Linked DNA regions of Pelodiscus sinensis. The protein of the gene in region 1 interacts with the protein of each later gene in a biochemical or structural test. Links are inferred from orthologs where the notes say so. Each region holds a gene or a part of one and is shown on either strand. Other genes may lie near its edges. The genes, in order: MATK and tyrosine-protein phosphatase non-receptor type substrate 1-like.

What was found.
Region 2: the proteins of MATK (region 1) and tyrosine-protein phosphatase non-receptor type substrate 1-like form a complex in vitro, tested with the Homo sapiens proteins (3 studies listed by BioGRID, with this or other methods). The link is inferred for Pelodiscus sinensis from reciprocal best matches to the Homo sapiens genes MATK and SIRPA.

Annotation. Positions count from the first base shown.
Region 1 is NC_134729.1:30,052,841-30,062,335, forward strand, and holds the start of MATK (megakaryocyte-associated tyrosine-protein kinase), read right to left. Parts: upstream 4,096-9,495; 5' UTR 50-4,095; coding exon 1-49.
Region 2 is NC_134728.1:2,956,692-2,965,363, forward strand, and holds the start of tyrosine-protein phosphatase non-receptor type substrate 1-like, read left to right. Parts: upstream 1-5,061; 5' UTR 5,062-5,502; intron 5,503-5,607; 5' UTR 5,608-5,616; coding exon 5,617-5,698; intron 5,699-8,672. UniProt on the Homo sapiens protein: Immunoglobulin-like cell surface receptor for CD47. Acts as docking protein and induces translocation of PTPN6, PTPN11 and other binding partners from the cytosol to the plasma membrane.

The DNA.
Region 1 (9,495 bases):
GTCTTCCTCCCCAAAATGTTAAGACATACTCAGATCCTAGAGGAGCCATGGAAATGCCTAGGTAAATATAAATTAAACAGTCATAAGTCACCAGACCCAGGCTGTATCAACCAAGAAATTGCAGAACTACTGACTCTTATAGGTAACCTATCACTTACATCGGCTTTTGGACCAGGTGACCAGCAGATAGCTAACATGCCAATTTTTAAAAAAATTTCCAGAGGTGATCCTGGCAATTACAAATCAGAAAGTCTAACTTAAATACCAGGCAAATTGGTTGAAATGTGATAAAGAGCAGAATTACCAGATACATCAATGAACCCATCATGACGGGAAGGGGTTAATACGGCTTTTGCAAAGGACAATCATGTCTCACCATCCCATCTGCTAGAATTCTCTGAGAGGGGCCAGAAAGCATATGGACAAGGATGATCCAGTGAATTCAGTGCTGGGGCTCAAGCAATTTTTTTAATATTCATAACTAATATGCCAGCACTTGCCACCTTGGAATTTCAGAAAGCCCTTCCCAAAAGCCCTTAAGCAACGGAAGCGATATTGTGATAAGAGGGAAGGGCCTCTCATGGACTGGTATCTGGTTAAAAGACAGGAAACAAAGGGTAGGAATACATATTGGTTTATAAAAAGATAGATTGTCGAGTCCCAACGAGCTGTATTGGGACCAGTGCTGTTCAAAATCTTCATAAATGACCTGGAAAAAGTGGTAAACAGTGAGGTGGCAAAGTTTGCAGATGATACTCAAGATACTTAAGTCCAAAGCTGGCTGCAAAGGGATCTTTCTGAACCAGGAGTCTGGACAATAAAATGGCAGGTGATACCCAATCTTGATAAATGCAAGTAATGCACATTGGAAAACATGATCCACATACAAAATTCTGGGGGCTAAATTGGTTGTTACCACTGCAGAAAGAGATCTTGAAATCCCATGAAACCTTTTACTCAATGTATAGCAGCAGTCAAAAAGCTAACAATGTTGGGAATAACAAGGAAAGGGATGGATAAGAAGAAAGAAAGAAAGAATCATAATGCCATTGTATACATCTATGGTAAGTCCACATCTTGCATACTGTGTGCAGTTCTGGTCACCCCATCTCAAAAAAGATCTATTAAAATGGAAAAAGTACAGAGATGGTAATAAAGAATATTTGAAACAGCTGCCATAAGAGGAGAATAAGTCTGGTCATCTTGGAAAAGAGATGACTAAAGGGATATCTGATAGCGGTCTATCAAATGATGAATGGTGTGGAGAATGTGACTAAGGAAACGCTAGTTCTCCCTTTTCACAACATAAGAACTAGGGGGTCACCCAATGACATTAAGAGACCTCAGGTTTAAAACAAACAAAAGGAGTACTTCACACCACACACAATCAGGGCAACTCATTGTCAAAAGATATTGTAAAGGCCTAAAGTTTAACTGGATTCAAAAAAGGAAAAGTTACTGGAGAATAGGTCTATTCATGGAGATGGTCCCTAGATGGTCAGGGACTGACCCCATGTTCCTGAGCCTCTGACTGCCAGAAGCTGGCCTGGATGATTTGTTGATGACCCTGTTCTGTTCATTTTCTCTGAAGCATCTGGCACCGAATACTGGGGGAAGACAGGATATGGGGCGAGATGAGCCACTGATCTGAATCAGTCTGGCCAGTCTTACGTTTTTCTGATGTTCTTCAATTCACAAGCATTCAGGAGAGGGCAAATCAATTGTGGGTTTTTTCTTTTTTCCATTCACCTACCTCACTACAATCAAACCAAAGTCATGGTCAAGGAAGGGAGCCTGTTACCACCATCACAGGAGATGAAGCGGAAGCAAAGCCTACTGAACGAGGCACAAAACACACCCATGAGGCTGACCAAACCAGCCTGTCAGGTGGAACCTGACCACTGGACGCTGTTATCTCTGACCACGCTTCCCTGGAGGAGGCTTGCTGAAAGCTCAGGTGTGAATGTTGCTCTGCTGAGCCAGAGGCAGCAGGCAGATCGGAACAGCAGGTCTTGCTATAGCACTGAGAAAGCGTTGAAGCATCACGCACAGGAAGAGGACAACGATGCTCTCTACTGGCTCCTACCTACCAAAGGGAGAGCACTTCTGGCTCAGCTAGGAGTGATCAGTCCTGCACTGGCGGGGGTCGGGGTAGCTGGGCTTACAGGTTTCCAGTGATTGTCATGCTGAAGGAAGTTGGCTGCTGGCCAGCCCTGGGAAGAACAAACCAGAGGGCAAGTTTCTGCACCCGACCCAGCCTCTTGTGAGACTGGCTCAATGCAGCCATTGCTAGGTTAAGAGGGGGGTTCACGACCTCACGGTGGCAGTTTTGATGATGCAAGTGCCTGGTCTACCAAGCTCATTCACAGGAGTCAGCACCCGGCATCTTGGGAGGGTTAAAGTTGGTTGTTTTGGTCCCTTGCCGTTCCCAAGCGGTGGGAAAGGCCTGACAGTAGGCGCGGGTCTGTGAGACGCTTTGTCTGCATGGATCCCACTGCTGAGATTCATGGGCCCTACCGGTGGAAACCTCATGCACAAATAACTGAAGATCCATCCAGATGAGAAGCTCCTGTCCAATGCCTCTCATGACCGGCAGTCCCGATCTGTCGGGCCTAGGGGACAGGAAACGCTAGCCCCGACCCAGCGGTGGGCAACCTGCAGCCGGCCAGGGTTGTGTGTGTGGCTCGTGAGATAGTGCTGCCATTGCCAGATTCTGCTGATTTTCATCCACATCGATTTTTCCTACCGACGTGACCCGCACATAAAGCCAGGGCGTGTGAAGTGAGGAGGGCGCTGACTGTGAGAGCTGCGCGCTCCCCCGCATCCAATCACAATGCTGCCACGGCTCAGTCGCTCCATCCTGCAGTGAGCGGAGCTACCCCATCCCAGGAGACTGCCCTGGCGCCCACAAACTTACAGTCCACTGAGATGAAGGAGGGCCGCTCGTGCAGCTCCCCCACTAGGCTAGGTTGCCCCTCCCAGTCCTGAACTGTTCCACCCCTTTGGAACCACTTTTGATTGCTGTAGCCTGTGCAATTGCAGGTCTCTGACATGCTCCTGGAGATATCGAAACATACAGCCCAGCCCGTTCACTGCGTAGTCCTGCCTGGCACAAGTGCACTGGACAAGTGTCTGCATCAGTGCAAACAGCAGTGGAAGAGCTGGCAACTGTGCAGACAGGTTACAGGAAACCTACCCACAGCTCGGTGTCAGACAGCAGACTGGCGGTGCCGCACACACTGCCCCCCTCCCATCTACCCACCACATGGGGTCAGACGGCTCCCTGAGCACAAGCACCCGCTGAGACAGAGGGCAGCTTATTGTCTTGCAGCACCAAGGGGAGGACACTGCTGTTTATCCCGCTGAGTGTAGCACTTTGAAGGTCCCCAGCGCTTCTGGCCTCCTGGAGGGGAGAAGGTAAACGTATTACCCAGCCGCGGCTACTGCCCTAGCCAGACCCTGTGCTTACCTTCCTGCAGCACCCATGCAAAGCCCTTGGCACCAAAGTCGTTGCAGGTTTGCTCACTGCCAAGCCAAGCCCAGACCTGAGTCGCAAGAACTTGTAGAATAAATTCCCAGTTCAAATGATGGAGCAGAACTTTACCTCCTGCGCAGCCGTGTTCACAGAACAGCCACTCTGAGAAACTCCTCTCCGCTTTATTTCCTGATTTCTCTTTGAGGCTGGGCTGCAGAGGCAGTGCCTTGGAGGTCCTAGTGCCTGCTTTTATGCAGCCAGTTTTAACCAGAGATGATTCAGTCTTCGATGACGCTTTACCCCGAGGTGACTTTAGCCCCCTTGCTGCACAAGTTCACATCCCAACAGAGGAAGTATCAGCAGCTGTCTGATTTGAAACCATGCAGCAGTTTGTGACACCCAAGCAAACTAACAATCAGCTGATATGAAACAGTGAGTTATTGTTCTGCTACTCCCTGTTTTGTGGTGGTGCCCACACAAACGTCCCAGACATTGTGCTCAGCAAGTGACAAAACGAGAATTACCGTGTGGCAGGGGAGATTTTGAACATTTTGGAAGGAAAATGTTCTGGCCCTAGCCCATAGGTGTGCGCAGCACATCTCATTAGGGTGTGCCCCAAAGAATTTTTTAAAAATTTACTTTGACTCCCATTAGCCACAACCCTGACCCCAGTTAACCACGCCCGACCCCCATGGGCCACACCCCCTGACTCCCATTAGCCACAACCCTGACCCCAGTTAACCACGCCCGACCCCCATGGGCCACAGCTCTGGAGGTAACACTCTGGGGGCAAGATGGACACATGGCCAGAAGTAAATGGTGTCATGTGACCCCCCCCTAAGGACTTTTCCCACCATCCTCCTACCAATAGGGATTAGTTTGCCTCCCCCCCCAACTATCTGCAGTTGCATTACCCCAATGTGTGTGACCTGCCCTCCTCCACCAGCCCTTCTCTCCCCTGTGCCCACTCCTCCAGTAGCCCCACTCTGATCATGTGAGCTACCCCTCCTCATCCCCCCTCCTAACACCTCCCCTGCCTCTCTCCCCTGGTGCTGGTCCCTCCCCTGCAGGTGTCTGCCCTTCTGCTTCACCCCCAGAATCCCCTGGCACCTGCACCTTCCCTTAGCCCTGAACCCTCCTGGTGCCTCCCCCTTCCCTCACTGCCCCTGCCCCCTTTTTCCCTGATGCCCACCCCCTCACCTCCTTCTGCCCCCATTCCCCTCATGCCCCTGTGCCCTCGCACATGCCTTGCTCCATCCCCGCCCTTCTCATGCCCACCCCTTCTTTCAAGCCTTTTCCCAGCACCTCCCCCTCCTCGCTCTAACCCTCAATGCCCCTCTCCTCTCCTAGCATCACCCTGTCCCCCCTCCTCCCCTCCTGCCCCTTCCTCTTCCACCTCTTCCTCGTATTTTCCCCCCTTCTCCTCCCCTTCCTTACCTTACCTTCGGTTTCTGCCTTCTGATTCCTGGGGCTGGAGTCTGAGCTGGCCCAAGCTACAGGCTGGCCAGGCCCTAGTCTGGGCGCCTCCAAGGTGCCGCGTGGTGCTGCTGGGCGGGGCGAGGGCGCCTCCAGGGAGCCTCAGTGGGGCCGTGCGGTGCTGCCGGGCTGGGTGGGCGCGTCCCCAGGGCACTGCGTGGTGCTGCTGGGCCGGGCAGGGTGCCTCCGGGGAGCCTCACTGGGGCCGCGCGGTGCTGCCAGGCTGGGCAGGGGCGTCCCCAGGGCGCAGGGCGGTGCTGCCAGGCTGGGGGGGGTGCCCCTGGGTACACAAAGGGCGGTGCTGCCGGGTCTGGGGTGCAAAAATGGCTCAGGCCAGCTGGTGTTTTCGGGCCTCCGCCCCAGCTGCTTCTGGAGCTGGGCCACACGGTTTGAAAGTCCCAGGCCGTGACGTCATGCCACGCCCGGGCATCTTACCTCTTGCGCGGCGTTTGAGCACGCCATGCATGCTCCCTCTCTGCTCCACAGTGCCCTGGTGATGGCTGTGGGGAATTTAAAGTGAGGGGCTGCGGCGCCTCGTCACAAATCCCTCTCCTCCTCCAGCAGCCGCTAGCTGGCCGGAGACATTAGGGTGTGCCTGGGTTCACCCCATGCGCACGCCTATGCCCTAGCCCAATCCCCGGTGACCACTTCCATTTTTGTGCCCCAACATCTGTGAAGGGAAAGAATACCGACCTACCTCCTAGGCACAGCATGAGGCACAACTAATGACTGCACAGCACAGACAGAGCCTTACATGACGAGAGCTGTAGAAGTGTAATGCATTAGCCATATGCCGTCACAGCTTGCACCCCCTTTGGGTCAGGATCCCTAAATACCTTCCCCCTTCTATTATCCCTGAAATGAAGATACTCCTGTTACAATACCCTGTGTCCTGCCATAGATCCACTGATGTCGGTGGAACAGAGCAATACCAATCCACCCCAGCTGAGCAGCTAGCCCCTGCTACTTGCAGCGCCCTGTGTGATAACAAGCAACCTGCTGCAGTAAATGCATCTGCTGAATATTCTCCACTCTGGCTTACGACATGTCACTGGGGAAATGACTGGAATGGATTTTACAAGGATTTACAAACCAAATTCAGCATGAAGAGGCACTTGGATTTGGTCCGACGTGCAGCATTCATGCTACCATTGGGTTAGAAAGTTGGGAAGGGTTTTTGCAGCCTTTTCATTGCAAGAAAGTGGCAGTGAATGAAAGGGGCAAGGAAGCAGTTTCCTAGCTCTCAGCAAAGCACAACAGTAACTAGTTATAGAAATGTAGCCGCGTTAGTCTAGTGTAGCTGAAACAAAATTTTCTTCCACAATTTGATCTGAGGAAGTGGGTCTGGCCCACGAAAGCTCATCACCTAATAAACCATCTTGTTAGTCTTTAAAGTGCTACATTGCCCTGTTTTTTGTTTCAACAGTAAATAGGACACTGCACACAAATCTAAACCAACCTTCATTAGAGTTTAGACTCCACCATGTCTCTTCAGAGTCCCACCATGAATCACAAACTGACTCATTGCACTGGACTCCAGTATCAGAGGGGGAGCTGTGTTAGTCTGAATCTGCAAAAGTGGCGAGGAGTCCTGTGGCACCTTCTAGACTAAGTGTCGGATGCATGCCTCTGATGAAGTGGGTCTTTGCCCACGAAAGCTCATGCTCCAACACTTCAGTTAGTCTCTAGGGTGCCACAGGACTCCTCGCCGCTTTTGCACTGGACTGTTGATGATGTTAGCACCAAAAAGATGCAACTGAGCTGAAAGCTTCACTGCACTAGGCATTGTATTAAAACAGCAAGAGACTGTCCTTGATTTAAGTAGCCAAAAATTGAGAGAGAAAGGCAGAGCTTTTATCCTTCTTTTACAGCTGGGAAACTGAGGCAGAGAAAGACTAAGAAACTTACCCAATACTGCTCAAAAAGTCAGTAGAAGAGTTGGGCAAGAAACTCCTGTCCAGCAGCTTAGCCACTAGCTTTTCCACGGCATCTCCTCAGCACTAGGTGAATAGTTGCTTCAAAATCTGTGTGGGGAGGGGAATTATGAGAAAGATGACCAAAGGCATGAAGAGGAGAACCAGGACGCACCCCTCAGGGTACTCTAGTTTTTTGGCACAGTGCTGTCTCAGATGTCTCATACGTGCTGACCATCTTGTATCACATTGGCAGATGAACTCTGGACTTTGATATGCTCTGTGTTTAGAATTTGAAGTTCTTCTCTTGCTTCTCCCTACACTCTTATCATCTTAAGCCAGCACATAAACATGAACTAATCTGCAAACTCATTTCCTCATTAACACAAAACACTGAGCTACTTGGTTACTGAAGGAAATCTTCTAGAAGATATGCCAATCAGCTAGCAAAATAACTCTGATAGGTCACAACTGCCTAAAAAGCAGAATGCAAATCAAACCAAAGAAGGTCTAAGCACGGGAAGAACCTCTGTGTTTGCTACTGTTCCCTGAACTGCCTTGCAGACTGACAGCAACTTGAATATGGCATTTCTGTAGCACCTTGGCATGGAAAGCAATAATTCTACTCCTCCCAAGATTATCACCACACTGTTTTCTTGGAGGTCAGGACCTTAGCTCATCCTAAGGAATGCATCATCAGCTGCAGTCAATCCATCCATTTCTAGTGCTGGGGGAATTCTGCAATTGCTGCATTTGGAGCCAGAGTAAAACTGCAGAGTCCCCCAGGACTGACTAATATAAACCAAAACCTTTGTTCGTAGGAATTCCAATTGACCTGTTTGCTTGGAGAGAAAAATCACTCTAATTTGAGATTATAGGTCTTTTCCCCAGATGTGCAAAGAAAAAAGCAACTGAATGTGCGTTTAACAGGAAGCACAGCTGGGTTCTATTTAATGGTGAACAGATCAAGTATTTTCCAGTTAGTTAAAACATAATCCAAGAATTTGCTTTTGAGATTAAAATGCTGAATGCTAAAAACCCAAACCAAACTTTTAATGGAGTTTGTACAAACCAGGTTTAATGAGTATCTGAGTGTGAAGTTGAAGTGATGAGAGCTTGGGATAATTACCATCTATCCAATCACCTACCGGACTTGTAATCACTTGCTAGTCGAGAGGTCCTCAAACCATCGGGCACACAAACATTCTGCGGGACTGCGGTAGGGCCAGTCTCATAGGAAGCAGGAAGAACAAGCACCCAGCTCCACCCCATCCCTAGCCAGGGACTCAATCCACCTGCCTGGCTTCGTCTTAAGACTCGGCTCCATGCCCGGCAGTTGGCCCCCACCACAGCCTGGCTGCAGCTCCTCTCCTAGCCCAGGGTCAAGATTGGGGTCAGGAGTGGAACCATACCCAGTCATGGGCAAAGCTGCCAGCTCCCACTGTGGTCTGGGCTGCATGGTGGAGCTGGGTGGTGCCCACACCCAGCTGTGGCCTCCTTACCCCACAGAATCATAGAATACTGAACTGGAAGGGACCACAAGAGATCAACAAGTCCAGTTCCCTGTACTCATGGCAGTGCCAGGCACCATCTAGCGCATCCCCGACAGGTGTTTTTCTAATCTGCTCTTAAAAATCTTCAGTGATGGAGAGTTCACAACCCCTCTTGCAATTTATTCCAGTGTTTGACCACCCTGACAATTAGGAAGATTTTCCTAATGTCCAACCTAAACCTCCCTTGCTGCAATTTGAGCCTCTTGCTTCTTGTCCTATCCTCAGATGTTAAAGAGGATAATTTTTCTCCCTCTTCCTTGTAACACTCTTTTAGGTACTTGAGAGCTGTTACGTCCCCTCTCAGGCTGGTCTACATTAGAAGTTTACAATGAATGTAGCTGTATAAGGTTGATTTTCTCAACAGTATGTCCACACTACCAGGTTTGTCTTGTCAACCGTAAGGGCTGCTGAAGTCAGTGTTGGGTATTCCTTATTTCATGAGAAGTAACAGTCCTCAAACTTGCTGGTTAAATTTACGGTAGAATAGACCCAGCGTGGAGAAAGTTGAGGTTCTTGGCCTCTGGGAAGCATCCCACCATGCCCTGCTCTGACTGCTCTGGCCAGAACTTTTGCCTCAACTGCTCTCTGTGAACTGGAAAAGCCCTGGGAAAGTCTGATTTCATTTCCTGTGTGGCCGAGCAGCATGGGTAGCCATGACTTCAAGTCTCATGAGCTCCAGTTCCCAGGGATGCAGAAGAGTGCCAGCATGGAGTATGCAGGAGAGCTTGGATCTCATTGAGGTGTGGGGAGAGAAATCCATTCTCTTTGAGCTCTGAACCAGCAAAGAAATGTCGCTAGCTATGTGAAAGTCGCAAAGGCCATGGTGGAGAAAAGATACGCCAGGGACGCCCAGAAATGCAGAGTTAAAATAAAGTAGCTCAGGCAGTTCTATCATAAAACAAAGGAGGCGAATGGACGGTCTAGGGCATCACTGCACACATGCCCTTTCTACGCTCAGCTGCATGCAATTCTGGGGGTGGGGATGGGGACCTGATCGGTTTCCCAAGCCTGACTGTGGAGTATGGCAAGGACACTCCTGGCAGCAGCATGGAGGACAGCGTGGTAACCATGGCAGAAG
Region 2 (8,672 bases), on another chromosome or scaffold:
AACAGGCCTCCAGGAATTCTGGCTCCATTTAAAAATAACCATTAGGGCGGAGAAATGCTGCAGACAGCTGTATGCATCACACCCCGCTATCTTCCCCCCTTCCTTCTGGTCTGCCCAGCAAAACGACTGCTCCAGAATTCAGTTCTCGGGATGGGGGGGTGGGGGGTGGAGGTCAATGAATCAAAATCTAGGGACGAGGCTGACTAATGCTTCTATAGGAGGATCAATTTTAGGAGTTCAAACCCAGCTTTCCGTGGGATCCCACATGCCCATCTCTGTACAAGGAATTCTTTTAAGCAGAGACCACTCCCCACTCCCCTTACAAAAAGCCTCAAATGGAGCATAAATGTGGACATGTTTCCAATGCGCACACTTGCCAGAAAGGGGAGATAAAAAACAGTGGGAGCAAGTTTCTTTTCACCTAGGACAGCGATTGGTTCCGCTGGAATAACACTGATCACACATATTTGTATAATTAAGGTAGCACCCAGTCATTAATCAGGTGTGAAGAGTTTCACGGGGCTGCACAGGCACCGGAAAACATGTTCCCTATTTTCAAGAGCATGCAAATTAAATTCAGACCAGATGCAACCCGTGGGTGTAGCAAACAACAGGCCAGAGAGAGGGGTTGCGGTGGTAAGAACATGAAGTCATAATATGCATGGCTTGGGGGGTTCCAAATCACTTGAGACCGCTTTGTTTTTTGTTTACAGCTCGATACTAATCAAGAGAGTAAATGCGGCACTCTCTCATCCTCCCAAGGGGGAGTGTTACGGTTAATGGGGGCGGAGGGAGGCTGCAAGCCAGGCTCTTGGAAGAATTACAGCAAACTTCTCCAGAACTTTGGAATTAGTCTTGATCTAGACAGCACTCATGGAGCAAGGTCTGCAGCCACTCTCTAGCTGAAATCTAGCATGGGACAGTCGCTAGCTGGGATTTGTGTTCAGTGTGAGCATAAGAATATTTGGTCTCTCTGGCCCTAATCAAGGATTTTTTTTCAGACAAGCAGCTAAGACAGCTGCAAAGACTCCCCCAAATATTTGCCTCTCCCCAGCTTTGATTCCCTATGACTGCTGTGCTGTGCATTCATATTGCTTGCTGGATAGGTTCAGGTACAGCAGTGAATTCCTGCAGGGCCTGCTGGGCAGACACAGCCTTACATCGCCATCTGTTCTGACCCAAATCGGTCGCAAATGACAACTGTGACCAGTGTTCCTTATAAGTGCTTGGGCAGCCACCCGGGGGACATTCCAATGCCACCCTGCTAATTAGCAGAGCACGCACAGCTGCACGCAGCCAGCAGCGTGTCCTTCTAATGGTGGTGCACATCTGCCCATGCCTCAGTGCACATCACAAAATGTATTCTGCACATGAGTGGAAAAAAGCTTCGGAGGGGGAGCCGAGTTAGCCTGTAGCTGGGAAAACTTTAAGAAGTTGGGGTGGAAAAGGAGGAAACACTGCAGCTAACCATTGTTAAAGGAACTTCAGGGGGTAGCCGAGTTAATCTGTTACAGAAAAAAGCAACAAATGGTCTGGTAGCACTTTATAGACTAACAAAAACATGTCTGTAGATGGTATGCCCATTGTTAAAGGAGTTAATCATTGCTCATTTCCAGGTAGGCACGCCCAGGCCACAACTGGCCCCTTGTTTTCCAAGTGCAGAGAGAAAGCCAAGATCTGAACAGTGGAGACTGTTTGCCTCCCTCCACTCCGGAGGGTCTCTCGGAAGCGCGGTAGCATAGCAATGCCATGCTTGTGGGCCTGGAATCCCGCAGGACACGCATCACTGGGGGTGTGGTGACACTGCAAGAAAAGCCCCGTGATGTGGCTGCCATTGGCCCAGGTCAGCTGATTTGGGCTCTCCAGGCTGGGACAGCAGGGCTATGACACTGCAGTGTAGATATTCAGGGTCTGACACCCCAAAGCGGGTGGGGCTAAGAGCCACATGTCCACACTATGTTTAGCCCCATAGCCCGAGCCTGAATCAGCTGACCTAGCCGCTGGGACTCATCCCCATGGGTTTTTATGGCAGTGTAGACATACCCTGAAACACACTGCACGGTGAGAAGAGCAAACCAGACTCTGCCTTCTCCCTTCCCTTTCTTCCTCTGCCCTGTTCTTCCGCCGCTTTTCACCCGCCCAGCGCCTCCATCTTCCTCCCCCCTTCTCTCCCTCGCCACCTGGGGCTTTTGTTCCCTTGGTGGGCAATGTTCCTCGCCGGCCTGTGACAAACGGCACGTCGCAGGGTGCTCAGCTGGGAAGCTGTTCATCGTTCCCTCTCACACAAAGCTCTTCTCATCGCCACACCAGGGAGGGACCTGGTACCACTTGGCAACCAAACGCCTCTGAATGCCCTGGCTGGAAGGGTTCCCGCTTAGCTCCAGAGGCGTCAGAGGGGCGGGCAGTGTGGCTGGAGGTGTCTGAGGGGAGATGGAGACCTATCACCGGGGGGGAAGGATGGGGTGCCGGGGATTTGTCTGCTGCGGGTGGGTGTGTCTGAGAGTGGGGTCAGCGCCATCGGGGCAGGGATTCTTCCTCTCCCCTCAGAATTTAACAAGAGGCTGCCGGTGGCGGGGGGCTCTCTCCAGTAGGCTGCAAAGAGACTCCCCCTCCCTCCACCACAACTCCTCCATTCTCACCCCATTTGTTCCCAGCCCCCCACATCTTCCTACCCTTCTCGCTAAGGCAGTGCCAACCACTTCTAATAACTGACTATTAAATGTGTATTATGGTAGCACCTGAGCGTCCCCGTCCGGGCAGGACACCATTGTGCTAGCGACGAGGAGTCCTGTGGCACCTTATCGACTAACAGGTTTACTGGTGCATAAGCTTTCATGGGCAAAGACCCACTTCATCAGATGCATCTAGTGGAAATTCCAGAGGCAGGTATATATATATACAGGCATAAGAAAAGAGTAGCAATCAAGAGTTAGGCTAGAGATAACGAGGTCAATTCAGTCAGGGAGGATGAGGCCCACTTCTAGCCGCTGATGTGGAGGTGTGAAAACCAAGAGAGGAGAAACTTCTTTTGTAGTTGGCTAGCCTTTCACAGTCTGGCTGCGCCTAGATTGGCATGATCTTCTGGAAATGCTTTTAATGGAAAAGTTTTCCGTTAAAAGCATTTTCGGAACAGAGCGTCTAGATTGGCAAGGACACTTTTCGGCAAAAACACTTTTGCGGCAAAAGCACCATTTTCGCGATCGGGGCTTTTTTGCGGAAACAAATCTGAGCTGTCTACACTGGCCCTTTTGTGCAAAAGCTTTGCCTGAACGGGAGCAGAATACTATTTCCGCAAGAAGCACTGATTTCTTACAGTAGGAAGTCAGTGCTTTTGCGGAAATTCAAGTGGCCAGTGTAGACAGCTGGCAAGTTTTTCCGGAAAAGCGGCTGATTTTCCGGAAAAACTGACTAGTCTAGACACATCCTCTTTGTTTAATCCTTTGTTTAATCTACACAAGAGAGCCACTTCCTGGACACTACGGTGCAAATAAATGATGGTCACATAAAGACCACCCTACAACGAAAACCTACTGACCTCTATGCCTACCTCCATGCCTCCAGCTTCCATCCCGGACACACCACACGATCCATTGTCTACTACAGCCAAGCACTAAGGTACAATTGCATTTGCTCCAATCCCTCAGACAGAGACAAACACCTACAAGATCTTCACCAAGAATTCTTGAAACTACAATACCTGACTGAGGAAGTGAGGAAACAGATTAACAGAGCCGAGATGTGTACCCAGAGGCCGCCTACTACAAGACAAGCCCAACAAAGAAACAAACAGAACACCACTGGCCATCACCTACAGTCCTCAGCTAAAACCTCTCCAATGCATCATCAGTGATCTACAACCCATCCTGGACAATGATCCCTCACTTTCACAGGCTTTGGGAGGCAGGCCAGTCCTCGCCCACAGACAACCTGCCAACCTAAAGCAAATTCTCACCAGCAACTATACAGCACACCACAGTAACTCTAACTCAGGAATGAATCCCTGCAACAAACCTCGGTGCCAACTCTGCCCACATATCTACACCAGCGACACCATCACAGGAGCTAATCAGATCAGCCACACCATCAAGTGTTCATTTACCTGCACATCTACCAATGTGATCTATGCCATCATGTGCCAGCAATGCCCCTCTGCTATATACATTAGCCAAACTGGACAGTCGCTACGTAAAAGAATAAATGGACACAAATCAGATATTAGGAATGGCAATATACAAAAACCTGTAGGGGAACACTTCAATCTCCCTGGACACACAGTAGCAGATTTAAAAGTAGCCATCCTGCAACAAAAAAACTTCAAGAACAGACTTAAAAGAGAAACTGCTGAGCTACAGTTCATCTGCAAATTTGATACCATCCATTTAGGATTAAACAAAGACTGTGAAAGGCTAGCCAACTACAAAAGCAGTTTCTCCTCTCTTGGTTTTCCACACCTCCACATCAGCAGCTAAAAAAGTGGGCCTTATCTTCCCTGACTGAATTGACCTCGTTATCTCCAGCCTTACTCTTGATCCTACTCTTTTCTTATGCCTGTGTATTTATACTTGCCTCTGGAATTTCCACTACATGCATCTGACAAGTGGGTCTTTGCCCACGAAAGCTTATGTGCCAATAAATCTGTTAATCTATAAAGTGCCACAGGATTTCTCATGGCTTTTGCAGATTTAGACTAACAAGGCTACCCCTTGGATACATTGAGCTACCCCTTGGATACATTGAGCTACCCCTTGGATACATTGTGATAGGTGCTGCACAGACACAGAACAAGCCAGGCCCTGCCCCACAGCACTTCCATGCTGCCCACTGACATCTCTGAGCCCCTTCCTCAAGAATGTGATTCCACCTGCTTGTCCTCCTGAGGGGCAGGGCAGGGCTGCCACCCCCAGTGCACGGAGGGGGAATCGAGGCACGCAGGGAAGCTGTGGTACGACAGGGACTCGCGCCCCCCGTCTACCAAGTTGCAGACTGGAGCTCTAACCACTGGGAAGCCCATCCCCTCACTCCCTCTGCTTCCCGCCCTCCTTCCTCAGCCTTTCCCCAGGCTCGGGGCAGACCAGGGCTCCCCTGGCGGAGGAAGTGACAGCAGCGGGCAAAGCCAAAGGGCGACGCCGGGGGCACGCGGTTCGCTCCGCGCCCTCCCCAGAAGCAGCTGCCAGGCGCGGGGGAGGGAACTCGCCCGGCCCACCTTAAGCCGGCAACGCGGGGCTGCTCCGGGATGACCGTAGCGCAGCAGGGGGGTGTGGAGCCCGGCCCGGGGCTGCACCCGCCCGGCGAGCGACCTTAAATCGGGGCGGCCCGGGGGGGCTGTTCCTGCGCCCGGGTACGTGCCTGGAAGCCGCCTCCTCCGTGCTAGGCAACCGGGGGGGCTGCCAGCGCCAGGAACCGGAGCGGGAGCCCGCGCCGCGGCCACACACCCGCCGCAGGGGCCGGGCTGCAGCGGGCGGGCCGGCGAGCGACGCCCGGTCCCCCGAGCCGGCTGCCCAGGTGGGGGGCGCGACGCCTCCTCCTCCTCCTCCTCCGGGGGGCGGCCCTGAGCCCGAGCGGAGCCGGCCCCTTCATGCGACTCTTCCTCCTTTCTGTCCCCGCCAGCCGCCCGCCATGGAGCCCGGCGCCCGCCGCGCCCGCGCCCCGGCCCGGGGGCTCACCTGCCTGCTGCTCCTCGGCCTGCTCGCCTGGCCCGGTAAGTGATGCTGCTCCCGGTGGGCAGGCTGGCGTGAGCCCCCCCCCCCGGGCTCTTCCCTGCTCCCCCCGGCTCTTCCCTGACCCCCGGGAGTGTCTGCCCCACGGCTCTTCCCTGCCCCCCCCCGGCTCTTCCGTGCCCCCCGGAGTATCTTCCCCCCGGGGAGTGTCTGCCCCCCGGCTCTTCCCTGCCCCCCCCGGCTCTTCCCTGACCCCCGGGAGTGTCTGCCCCCCGGCTCTTCCCTGCCCCCCCCCCGGCTCTTCCGTGCCCCCCGGAGTATCTTCCCCCCGGGGAGTGTTTGCCCCCTGGCTCTTCCCTGCCCTCAGTAGTGTCTGCCCCCCGGCTCTTCCCTGCCCCCCCCGGGAGTGTCTGCCCCCCGGCTCTTCCCTGCCCCCCCCGGGAGTGTCTGCCCCCCGGCTCTTCCCTGCCCCCCCCCCGGGAGTGTCTGCTCCCCGACTCTTCCCTGCCCCCCCGGGAGTGTCTGGCGCCCCCCCCCCCCAGCAAGCTTGTCTGTTGATCTTTAGCTGCCGCAGCGCCCTAGCCGGGGAGGGGGCACATTAAAGACGGGGGGGGGCTGTAACTGGGCTGCTGTGGGAGTAACCTGGGCGCTTCTCCCCTGGGTCCACGGGGGTCTGGCTTGCGCTGTGTAATGTGCGTGGTGGTGGGGGGGGGAGGAGTTGATTTTTCTGTAATCTAGAGATTGTGCCACCAGGTAAACACCCCCTGGTCTGGTGAAAACCGGGCACTGGGGGTTCAACTGGGCAGGCTTAGAACTGGCCCCTTGCTGGGATAGCTATAGGCAGCTAGTGCTTGAGGTGAGAGGGGTGCAGGGAGGGGGCACCCCATTTAGCAGTGAGAATTTTGGTGGAGGGCACTGGGATGCTACCACGAGTCACTGGTGCATATGGCTGCTGCGATCTGCAGGCTGGGTGAATTGGTCAAAATGGCACAAATCTGCCACTCGGACTGTGTTTTTTACACACCAACCGGCAGCCGCGAGGGCACGTATACGCAGGACGTGGCTCCTGGTTAACTCCACGTGTGGATAGTCTTAGTCCAGAATAAGAGAATTCACATGGGGAATTATTCGGGAATGTCTTTAAATACATCCTATCATATTCCAAACTGATTTTCATGAGCCCTTTCAGGAAGCTGTAAAACAGGCACCGCTGTCATTGTCTGATTTCTTACACAGTCCTGCTAGTTGCTTTTTGCGAGCCGTACCCTCCTTTTTGCAGCTCAGAGTGTGCAAATCTCACTCACTTTGCACAATCACTGAATGCCCAGTCAGCGCAACTTTCACCACTTTGCATCCGTTTTCTGGCTCTAGTAATCCACCATGAAGTTTGTATCATAAGGGGAATTGCACTCACTGACTTGAAGCTGAGTTTGACCCGGTCTAGGCTAGGTACCCTCTTGCGGCGCAGCTGTGCTGCTGTACAGCTTCCTATGTAGCCATTGTATGTTGATAGGAGAGAGCTCTTCAGCCACTCCAATTAAACGACCCTCAAGGTGCGGTTGTAGCTATGTTGGCAGAATGAGCTTTCCCACCAACATAGCACTGTCCACACCGGCACTTTTGGCAGCAAAACTTATGGCAGTTGGGGTGTGGGGTTTTTTTTCACACCCTGACAGATTAAAAAATTGCCAGCAAAAGTGTATAGAGCCCTGCAATTTGTATTCGTGGGCATCCGCACCTGTGGCTGCAGACATCCGTGGCGCGTTTTTATGGATATGGTTGCGGATACAATTTTTTTTCTCTAGAATGGTGCAAATTTGCAGATAGCCACTTTATAGCCACTCCACACCCGCAGAGGGGGTTGCAGATATCCCTGGACCATTTTTGCAGATGTGAGCACAAGTTTTGTATCCGTGTAGGGCTCTGCTAGTGTAGACAAAGCCTAATCTAGGCACTTGTACTGTGCCTGGCTCACAATACTGACTCTGTCAGATGATTTGTTTAATGCTCACAAAAGACTTTTGAGCTCCGTGGACGGCGCTATCATGGTGCATTTCTTTACTCAATTTGTTTATTTCTCCTGCCTTTTGCACTTCCCTCTTTTCACTCCCTTCCCTCCATCAGTGTCAGTAAAAACTTCCCTCCTCCACCAAGAATAGAACCGTGTAGTTACTGTTGCATTTCGATGGTGCTTCGCTTGCAGCTGAAATGCTGTAATTTTATCTGTATCTCTCAGCATTAAAAACAACAAGGAGTCTGCCGACACCTTCAAAACTCACAATTTTATCATGGCAGAAGCTTGAATTGCAACTCACTCCTTAACCCGGCTCCCTCTCTGACAGCTCTGAGCAGTTAGTTAATCCACCACGGAAGGCCACTTGTGTGACCGAAATCAAGGCCTGGCTTTCTTAGGAAGCCTTTGTATGCTGGAGTAGCGAGCCCACACTAATGTCCAGCCACCTCTAATGCCAGTCCATGAGCCAGGCAATGTCATTGATCATGACTCAAAGGAGACAGTGAGAGAACCTCTCTCTAGTCTGTCAGCGAGAGGATTCTGTGCAAACTTTTCAGGGAGGGGTTCTTTCAACGGTGTCTGTCCATTTTCATACACTTGAATGCACTAGTCTGTGGCCACTGCTCAGTCAAAGGTAGACAGGTTCCCGGGAGAGCTGCCACGAGGTTTCTGAGTGGGTGGGGGGAAAAGACACAACCCAGAATATTTCTTTCCTGCCAAAAAGTGACACCAGCTGCTTGCTAGTAAAGCTGCCCTCAAACTAGAAATTTGCCAAATCAAGGCCACTACTGCCCTTCACCTCCCCAACAACAATTTTCCCGAACCGGGCTGCTTTCTCTGGATCCCATTTATCTAAGCATAAGAGATTCAAATCCACATTTCTGTGGTTCTGCCAGTGCTGTGGAGAAGGGAGTGGGGGAGAATCACAAGTAAGAATTATTGAAGTGAAGAACATTGCCCTCATGAACTACACATGCTTTCTGCTCATACCACTCCTGTGA